Cricetulus griseus: one gene and its partner. The protein of the gene in region 2 binds, or shares a complex with, the protein of the main gene of each other region. Links are inferred from orthologs where the notes say so. Each region holds a gene or a part of one and is shown on either strand. Other genes may lie near its edges. The genes, in order: Bag6 and Ubl4a.

What was found.
Region 1: the proteins of Ubl4a (region 2) and Bag6 are in contact, whole or in part, in a crystal structure (PDB 4X86), measured with the Homo sapiens proteins. The link is inferred for Cricetulus griseus from reciprocal best matches to the Homo sapiens genes UBL4A and BAG6. Residues at the interface, in NP_055050.1 of Homo sapiens: Val95, Leu98, Ile99, Val102, Leu103, Arg105, His106, Phe107, Ser108, Asp111, Arg114, Val115, Gln118, Leu119, Asp122, Tyr123, Glu124, Ser126, Leu127, Ser128, Leu130, Ile135, Leu138, Arg141, Phe142; in NP_001092004.1 of Homo sapiens: Gly1052, Pro1053, Leu1055, Leu1057, Ala1060, Val1061, Ala1064, Ala1065, Ala1067, Ala1068, Ala1070, Arg1071, Pro1072, Leu1073, Thr1074, Ser1078, Leu1079, Asp1082, Leu1083, Glu1087, Val1088, Ser1091, Tyr1092, Gln1095, Leu1096, Asp1099, Ile1100, Arg1103, Leu1104.

Annotation. Positions count from the first base shown.
Region 1 is NW_023276806.1:231,668,637-231,673,130, reverse strand, and holds the end of Bag6 (large proline-rich protein BAG6), read right to left. Parts: intron 4,118-4,494; coding exon 3,826-4,117; intron 3,640-3,825; coding exon 3,470-3,639; intron 3,311-3,469; coding exon 3,257-3,310; intron 3,133-3,256; coding exon 3,030-3,132; intron 2,948-3,029; coding exon 2,823-2,947; intron 2,690-2,822; coding exon 2,543-2,689; intron 2,437-2,542; coding exon 2,377-2,436; intron 2,265-2,376; coding exon 2,121-2,264; intron 2,045-2,120; coding exon 1,937-2,044; intron 1,333-1,936; coding exon 1,186-1,332; intron 923-1,185; coding exon 827-922; 3' UTR 744-826; downstream 1-743. UniProt on the Homo sapiens protein: ATP-independent molecular chaperone preventing the aggregation of misfolded and hydrophobic patches-containing proteins.
Region 2 is NC_048604.1:1,347,322-1,351,889, reverse strand, and holds Ubl4a (ubiquitin-like protein 4A), read right to left. Parts: upstream 3,006-4,568; 5' UTR 2,892-3,005; coding exon 2,844-2,891; intron 2,684-2,843; coding exon 2,578-2,683; intron 2,328-2,577; coding exon 2,119-2,327; intron 2,003-2,118; coding exon 1,928-2,002; coding exon of another isoform or gene 1,892-1,927; exon of another isoform or gene 1,256-1,891; coding exon 1,139-1,255; 3' UTR 90-1,138; downstream 1-89. Other genes in the region: Slc10a3 (P3 protein), read right to left, coding at 3,852-4,568. UniProt on the Homo sapiens protein: As part of a cytosolic protein quality control complex, the BAG6/BAT3 complex, maintains misfolded and hydrophobic patches-containing proteins in a soluble state and participates in their proper delivery to the endoplasmic reticulum or alternatively can promote their sorting to the proteasome where they undergo degradation.

The DNA of each region.
Region 1 (4,494 bases), on a different chromosome or scaffold from region 2:
TAAAGCTGTGGGTTTGACTTCAATTTAGTCTCCGGCAGACAAGGGCAGGAAGCCAAATTCCTCACCAAAATATCACAAGCACAGCTCTGGGGTCACTTATTGGTATTGCCTAAATTCTCAAGCCAGGCCTACACAGTTCACAGTACCCTCGACACCACACTGCTATGAACGGCTACACACTTCAAACATGGCCCAACAAAAGCATGGTCAGCAATGCCTCAGTCCCGGTTACCAACTCTGCATTAGGGTTCTATTACTGTGAAGAAACCATCACCGTGTTAAATCATTTAATTGGGGTGGGCTTCCAGGTTCAGAGCTTTAGTCCACTATCCAGGTGGGACACAGGCAGATGAAGTCCTGGAAAAGCTGCCACTGGGCCTCCTTTGACCATCGGAAACCTGAAAGCCCACCCTTAGTGATACACTTCCTGCAACTAAACCACACCTCCTCATAGTACCACTCCCTGTGGGGAGCCATTTTCAGTTTAAACCACCTCAGTACCACATAGCTGCCTGCTGTTTCCGGTCTTCAGCACAGGGATGTCATTAGGCCTTCACATTCCAGAGACCAAAGCAAAAGTTGCAAAACTTACTAGCTGGCCTGAGCTTAAAGTACTATCCTACAAAAGTTCAACCACTCATAGGCCTGCATAAGCTCCATAAGCAGAGTGTGCTATACACGTGTACTAGGTTCGGAGGGATTGGATGAAATGTTGGGAGAAAATGAAGGTACTCAACACTAACTACCAGACAAAGAAGCCAGGAAAATCCGACTTTTATTTCTTAAATACTGTGAAGGAAGGGGGAATGGTCCCCCCGTGAGAAAGCTAGGGGTCATCAGCAAATGCCCGGTGGGCATTGGGGAAGCGCTGGGGGCTGTAGTTGGGGTCTTCCTGCAGTCGCTTTTGGATATCAGACCGGAGCTACAAAGAGAAAACACAAGCAGGTTGGAGGAGCCCTGGTTTAGCCCTATGATCCCAGCAAGTGCAAAGACCAACCCTCAGGAAATACTTCCCCACCAACCAAGCTGGCTAGGCCAATGAGATTGCTGAGCCTTCCCAAATGCCACAAGGAAAACCCTGACCACCAACCGGGGGCTTCATCTCTGGATAGATTCAGGGAAGCAGGAACCTGGCCCAACCCCTCCCAATAGACCATTCCCTATTCTGCTGCAAAGTGGGGGCACCTGCTGCCTGTAGCTCTCCTGAACCTCTGGTGCCTCCAGGTCCCGGCTCAGGCTCTCGGGGCTTGTCAGGGGCCGAGCTCCGGCTGCCTTAGCTGCCCGGCTCACTGCCTCTGAGAGTAGCAGCTGGGGGCCCTCACCCTGCATTGTCTGGGGACAGGTGGAGAGGGAAAAGGGGATCAATATCAGACCCCCTGCCACCAACCCAGTTCCCCCTTTCCCTTGGCTAACCAGTGTCCAGTCCAGTCCAGTTCCCCTTTCCCCTGGCTAACCAGCGTCCAGTCCAGTCCCCCCTTTCCCTTGGCTAACCAGTGTCCAGTCCAGTCCAGTTCCCCTTTCCCCTGGCTAACCAGCGTCCAGTCCAGTTCCCCCTTTCCCTCAGCTAACCAGTGTCCAGTCTAGCACAGGGCGGGGAAACAGTCTGCATGTGCTTTTCACAGCAGAAATGCCTTCCTAACTATGGCTAAAAAAAAAATGTTTGATTACAAAGATGGCACCAGCAGGTCAGACCACCTGAGACTCAGAGCTAGCTACTCGTCAAGACCCTAATCACTTGGGAAATCACACAGCTGCGAGTACCAGAACTGCCAGAAACAGTAAGATGAAGGCCCATGTTGTCATGTGCACAAATCATGAACAAGCCTGACCCCCAAACAGGCTTCCTAACTAGATGAAGAAACTGAACTAGCAAGCAAAAGCCTCTAGCTCAACAAGGGTTCTGGACAGAGACACCTTAGGAAAGAGACAGACCAACCTTGCGTCTCTTGGCAGGCATACCGCTGAGGTAGGCGTCGCTCAGGGGCGGCTGAGGTTTCACCTTTCGCTGGCTCTGAATGTCCTGCTGGATAATAGGGACCCATTCCTGGGGAGGAAAGGGTTAGAAATAATTCTCACAACTCACAGCTCTTAAACCCACTGGATCACCTCCTGCCACTTACTGGGGGGACCGCAGCTGCCCAAGGTTCTGCATCGGCTGAAGCTCCATCCTGTTCATCTCGGGAACCACCTTCGGGAGCAGGGGGTGGACCTCGGGACATGGCTTCTTCTGCTGTTGTTCCAGGGGCTGGGGAAGCATTCTCCCGCTGGAAGGCAGATGGCAGGAAGGTCCAGACTTCAGAATTCTTTGCCCCCAAGTGCCTTTTCTTACAGCCCAGCCATCTACACATTATCTGGCCTCTCCACCTCTCCTGATACCTGAGGTTCAGGGGAAGTTCTTTCTGCTCCTTGAACTTCCATTGGCTCTTCAGGAAGTGTCTGTGGAATTTCACAAAGAAATAAAAGGAGGGGGGGGGGTATCAGTACAGTCCATCTCTCAAGTGTCCTTATGTCCCCTGACCCCACAGCCTACTAGGTCCCTTACCTGGGGGGGATCACCAACCCTGCGAACGTATCTGAGGATGGCATCAGGGCCCACAGGCATGTGTTCCAAGACCACCTGAAGCCTCAGTCCCATCATAGTCGTCAGCCAGCTCACCAAGGATGGGTTCACTCCACGAGACATGCGACGCTGAGGGTTAGAAAGCAGACTTACAACTTGTGCAATCTACATCTCGGGCAATAGGTGCAGTACTTGGAGAAATAGAAAACTGCAAGACATAATAACAAAGGAGCTAGAGACTTAAGAGTCGGGCGGTGCTTACAATTCGGCCGTTGATGACAGCAGCAAGCTCCATCTGCTGTCCCCCCAAGCAGTGTAGGTTCAGGGCCAAGCACTCAAACAGGCCCTGGTTACACAGCTCCAGCAAGCGGGCTCCAAATCCACTGTCTGGAAGGAGGATGCGAGAGGGCCCATGACTCTGCCAGTCCTACAGAGCAGTGCTTCCCTCTCCCTGGCAGCCCTGCCTGACCTGTGCAGTGTAGCACATGCGCAGCAATGCTGTTAAACTGCTCTTGGAGGAATTCTAAATTTGTCCGGATGATGTCCACACCCGGCTGAACCTGCACCAAAGACTGAGACAAGACACACAAAGATCTCCAAATCAGAACCATGAGGGTCTAGGAGGAGGAGGTGACAGGGACCCCTAGCTTCCCCGCCCAAACCTAGACAGGAAGAAAACACATAAAGCATACTCACAAAACTCTCCCGTACATATTCTTCCAGCCCAGTGATCAATGTATGGGTTGCCATCTGTAGGGGAACATCACAGTTCAGGTTTAGTCCCACCTGTCCCATGCAAGCCCAAGGCCTGGGCCGAAGTAGAACTGTCACTGACTGATAGAAAGCAGCCGGGATTAAGGGATGGAGGCCAGAAGGAAGGAAAGCTCTGGGCTCTGGGCTCTCATTTACCCGGATGTTGCCAGGTGTGGGCTCCTGACCACCCAGGTAGTGCTGGTGGAAGAAAGATCGCAGCTGTGGCTGGAGCCGCTGCAGTGGCTGGAAGTGCCCGTGGAGAAGCATCACCACATCCACCATGGAGAAATTCTGGCACAGAAGAGAGAGCAGAGCTCCAAAGAATCCTAGGGAGAGGGGCAGAAGTGAGCAGTTGTGTCCCCTGCTTGCCGAGCCCCACAAGCTGTCAGCCTAATCCTTCTTAGTAAAGAAAGGCCAACCACACACACACACACACACACACACACACACACACACACACACACACACACACCCGCTAGTTCCCAAGACCATAGCACCCCCTTTTTGCTTACCAAGAGCCCCATCAGCCCCAGGCTCAAAGATGTTGCTGGATCCACTGAGGCGTTGGATGAAGGCAGCAATGCTCTCACTGCTGCCAGCCCGCGCCCCCAGGGAGCCCAGCAGAGAGCTCAGCACTCCCTGTACCACCGAGGTGAAGAACTCCGGTGGCAGGCTCTCCGGACCTAAGCCTCCAGGACTCCCTGTTCCACCAGAAGGGGACCCTGGTGGGGGTGTGGCCTGCTGCTCTGGGGCAGGGGGTGGGGGTGGAGGAGGTGGAGGGGGTGGAGGGGCAGTCTGTGATGCCTAGCAGAGAAGGAAGAGCAGAAGACAAAGATCACAGGGTCAAGAACATAAACTGCATCAAGAAGGCACAAAACAACAGGCCCAGGAGAAGAGGAAAGAGCTAGATTCTGGTTTTTGTTTTTGAGGCAAGGTTTCCCTATGGCTTTGGAGGCTGTCCTGGAACTAGCTCTTGTAGACCAGGCTCGTCTCGAACTCAGAAATCCACCTGCCTCTGCCTCCCACATGCTGGAATTAAAGGCATGCGCCACTACCGCCCAGCAAGAGCTAGATTCTGATCTTGACTTAAAACAACCACCACCTATTTTTAATAACTATATTTAATGTGTATAGGCATTCTTCCTGCCTATATGTCTGTGAAACATGTGTGCCTGGTTTCC
Region 2 (4,568 bases):
GGAAAGCAGATCAAGACTACCTGAGTAGGTGTTAACTGATAACCAACAAATCCTTTTTCCATATGCCAAGCCCCAGTGATTACACAGGATTCAGTTCTGACCAATAAGAGAGCATTTATTTGCTGGGGCATCTGAGACAGAAGCTATGTTACAGAGAGAAAGTGCTCCTTGCTGGCAGCAAATGGTTTGATGAAGCTGCAGGCAGCCACCCTTTGATCCTTGGAAGTAGTGGTGAGGATGAAGCAGATGCTGGAGAATTCAGAGGGAGGCAGGAAAAAAGCTGGATGTTTGGTGAAATTGTTCATCAACTGCCAGTACTCCTGGGCTTTTTCACTTTTGTAAGCCAGTAAGTTTCCTGTGTTGTTAAACCAATTATTTGAAACCAAAAGCAGACTAGTTTATTAATAGAGTTCGTCTTGGTAAAAAGTCTCACATGCACCTTAAGTGTTATTTAATTTTCCAAATACATTCCCTGACTCAAAGTGAACAAGGACATTGGTAAGCTTATTATCTGAGCTGCCAGTCCACATATGTGCTCACAAGCAGGTCCCTGATGTGGTACCCCAGGTCTCAGGGAGGAGCAGGGTCTACCAGCTGCTCATCCCCTCAGGCCTCACTTTAGTTTATCATTCCATTATGGGGAGTCAAGATTTGTCCCACAAGGCCCAAAGCCCATGCAGGAGGCCGTTGGGCAAGAAAGGCCAGTGTAGTCCCAACAACATTCAGAGTTGCTTCCTTGGCAAGAGTGGAGGGGCAGGAGTAATGTCCTGCAGGTGGCTATCTTCCAGCCTCAACTGCTCCCAGGGGGTCCTCCTCAAAGGAGCTAGTACTTACATGACCTTTAGCACCCAGGCATAGGTTCAGTGAAAAGAAGAACCACTGTCTTCAGCTTACATTTCTATCTCCTCCTCAGCACCCTGAGTTTCTTCTTAAGCAATGAAGGTGTGCAAACTGAAAGTCCCTGTACACAGGTGGCAGAGGAAGCATCCGTCTCATGCTGTGGGAGAACGCTGGGTGAGGAGACCCAGGAAGAATCCTAGTTGTGACACTGCTTTGTGGAGTCACCTGCTGTCCCTCATGGATGAGACCGACTTCCAGGAGGAGCCAAGCAGATAGGGTCCCCCCAAGAAGAGCTATGTCACAAAGGCCCAGGATATTCCATCTGTGGCCCATGCTTGGCTACCACTTCACTTTTGGCTTCAGTTTGCTTACTGAACACAAGATGGCACTGCAGTTGGTGATAGCAGACTCCCACCTTGAGCCGGGAAAGAGGGAAGGAAACTTATTCAGGTCAGAGGAGTGGTCACCACTAACAGACTCAATGGTAGGGGACCTAAGTGGCACAGAAACTTGACTTAAGCCATACAACGGAGCTAGGGTATCTTTCTGATCCTCCAGCCCCTGACTTTGTCATTCATCAAGAGCACACTGGCTGCAGCAGCAGAGGGACTCTGGATGGCTACCACTTGGCTTCCTATGGAGATTTGCCAAGGGTATGCCAGACATACTAGAGGACAGGTGACAGGGACTAGTGGCTTCCTGAGGGAGTCACTTGAGTGTGTATGTTGAGTGGGCTAAATGGGAATGTTAAGGCCCATCCCTCAAAACAACACACTCTTTCTCCTACAGAGGCACTTCTACAGCTGGCTAGACTTGGATTCTGGCTGTCCCAAGCCATTGCTAGGTGTTTCTACAGTGCAGCCTCAACTGTCCTGTGGAAGGCAGAAGAGAATTCAGGCCAAGTACTTTGAGTAGTGCTTAGCACCTAGCAAGAACTGGGTACATACCAGCTATTATTATCACTATGAGCCAAACTGCGACATGAGAACACATTTAATGCAACATGCAGCTGTGGCCTGACCTGGGATTTCTCCCCCCACTCCCAGAAATGCTATTTGGAGAACCCTTTTTCCATAGACTCAGTTACTTCAGGGTGTAGAAAGCGGCTGGCCAAACGTTCAATGTCATCCAGTGTTAGGCGGCTCAGAGATCTGTCATAATCCTGAGAAGAGAAGACCAGGTGGGTTCAGGGGGTGCAAGCAGGAAGGGGTATGCTGTAATAGGTGGGGGCTGGGGCTAGAAACATTAAGATTGGAGGTCCAGAATTATTCTGCTCACCCTCTGTAGTTGTTCCAGGACCCTGCTGGTATCTGCTACACTGAAGTGACGGGCCAGGACTTTGGAGATCAGCTGCCAGAGGGGTGGGGGTGGGGAGTCGACCAGTCTGTGGGCAGACCCTTCTTCCAGCAGCACCTTCTCCAAAGGTTTAACGACTAGGTTGAGTTTAGAATTGGGCCCAATGTTGTAATCTGACAGTCGTTTCTCATCTGCCAAAGAGAGATTGGTGGGGTTCCTTCCTCATTGTTGTGGGGGTGGCCAGAGAGCAATCCTGCCATGGACAGCTAGAGTGAAACACTGCAGCATCTGGCTATGGGGTGGTGGCGTCTCAGCTACTTTTCCAAGGTTTAGTGGCAGCCACTGCTCTAATCCATTACACTGGCCTGTACATCCCGTCCCCCAACTTCCAACTTCCTACTTCCTGTGGGGGGTCCCTGGATGGCTCCTTTCCCTGGTTACCTGTTAGGGCCTTGCCCTTGAACAGCAGACGTTGCTGGCGCACAGGGACGTTCAGCTTATCCGAGACCAGATGCTTCAGTGTAGACACTAGCTCGTCCTCCGGCACCTGATCCGGCCGAGGTGGAGAGGCAAGGGCTTAGTCCGAATTCCCTGGGCGATGCAGCCCTAGTGCCCCCTCCTGAGGTTAGCTCTCCTGGCCTCCCCCGCCCGCCATTGGCCCCAGCGGCAGGAGTGTGTGAGTGTAGCAGCCTGCAGGGTAACCTTACCTGTAGGCTGCACTCCCGGCCCTGGAGCGCCTTCACGGTCAGCTGCATGATGCCCACAGCCGCGTCCACTAGGACCAATGTAAACCCCAATGGTCCCCTGCCGCGCGCCGCTGCCCCGGGCGCGCGCCGGAACCGCCCGCCGCCGCCGGAAGCCGTGAAAGGGGCGAGCCCGCCGCGTGGCTCCCGCCCGGTCCCGCCTCCAGGCCTTTGCGCCTGCCTGAGCCTGGGGTAGCGTCCACCGCCCTGGGCCCACAAGCCTCCAGCGGCTTTGGTGCAGGGAAGTGGGGCCATTCCGCCCACTGGGATAGGAGCGAGGAATCTGTAGGGTCAGGCTTGCTTCACCGGGGAGCTGTGGCTTGAAAGGAAGGACCAGAATGTCAGCCTCATGCAAGGCCTGACCTGTTAATTCCTACCCTGCTGGTGGACCACATCAGGGCAAACATGTAGTAGTGTCTCTCAGATACAGAAATGGTCCAGTCCTACCTGCCATAGCCCAATGGCTTTCTACTTCTTCCTTTCTAGTCTGGTTGCAAAAATATCCTGGCCGAGGCTCCAAAGTAGTGGACCTAGGCCTCTATCTCTTCACTCATTATAGAACAGAGTCCTGCCCTGTTCTGATAGAGAAAAGCCTTTGCAGATCTGGAGATATAGCTCAAAGGTACAACACTTGTCTACCATGTGCAAAGCACAGAGGAAGGAGAGAGTGGGCTCTGTGCACGGTCACCAAGCCTGTTCACCATCCTGGTCCATATCAACCCAGACACACTCTTCCTATCCCCATCCATACACTCCAAGGGACAAAGACTGGAAGGGACCCAAGCTTGCTTTTGTCTTTTATTGAAATATATTTCTAACTCAGCATGGCCTCTTTGGCACTGAAAGCTGGAAAAAAAAAGCCTGGATTTGTCTGAGTGCATAGTGCATGAGAACAAAAGGCCTTTGGTACAGAACTGTGGGGACAGTGGATGGAGTATGGGGGCTGGGGTTATAAAACTTGATCCAGGGTCCTCATGGAACAGGAAACAAGTTGCTGTAGATGAACTGGCCAATAACCAAAGCCAGCATCTCGGAGGTACCACTCAGTGCCACAATGAAGGGGGCCTGAGAGGCATAGTCTGCTTGAAGGCGACGCAGAGACAGCTGCAGCATAGCTAAAGCTAGCAAGCTGTTTTGTACCCCTACCTCAATGCTGACTGTCCGCCGCTGGGCCACTGGCAGCTTCAGGCACATGGCTAGGCTGTAGCCCACCAAAAGGCCAACCAGGGGCACTGTGAAGCCCACCAGTACGATGGGTAACCTGACTCCCACTAAGATGAAGACCCCCATGTGGTAGGCCAGGAATAGGCCACCCAGGAGAAGTACAAAACTGAAGGGCTTGATGACCTGTAGCAGCAGCTCTGAGAACTTAGGGAGCTTAGACTTGATTACCACACCTGCTGCTATGGGGATGGCGATGAACAGCAGAGTCCCCAGTATCTTGGAGATGGGCACGTGGAGTGTTTCATGGATGCTGAGAAGGCGGCTGTAGATGGCTGATGAAAGTGGCAAGAAACCTGTGGCAGCTACTGTTGAGATGAAAGTCATGGAGATGGCCAGGGTGACATCTCCTCCAAGGAGGAGACTGAAGAGGTAGCTCCCCCCACCGCCAGGTGATGAGCAGGTAATGATGAGGCCAAGAGCTAAGGCCTTAGGTAGCATGAAGACTTTGGCCATCAGGAAAGCATA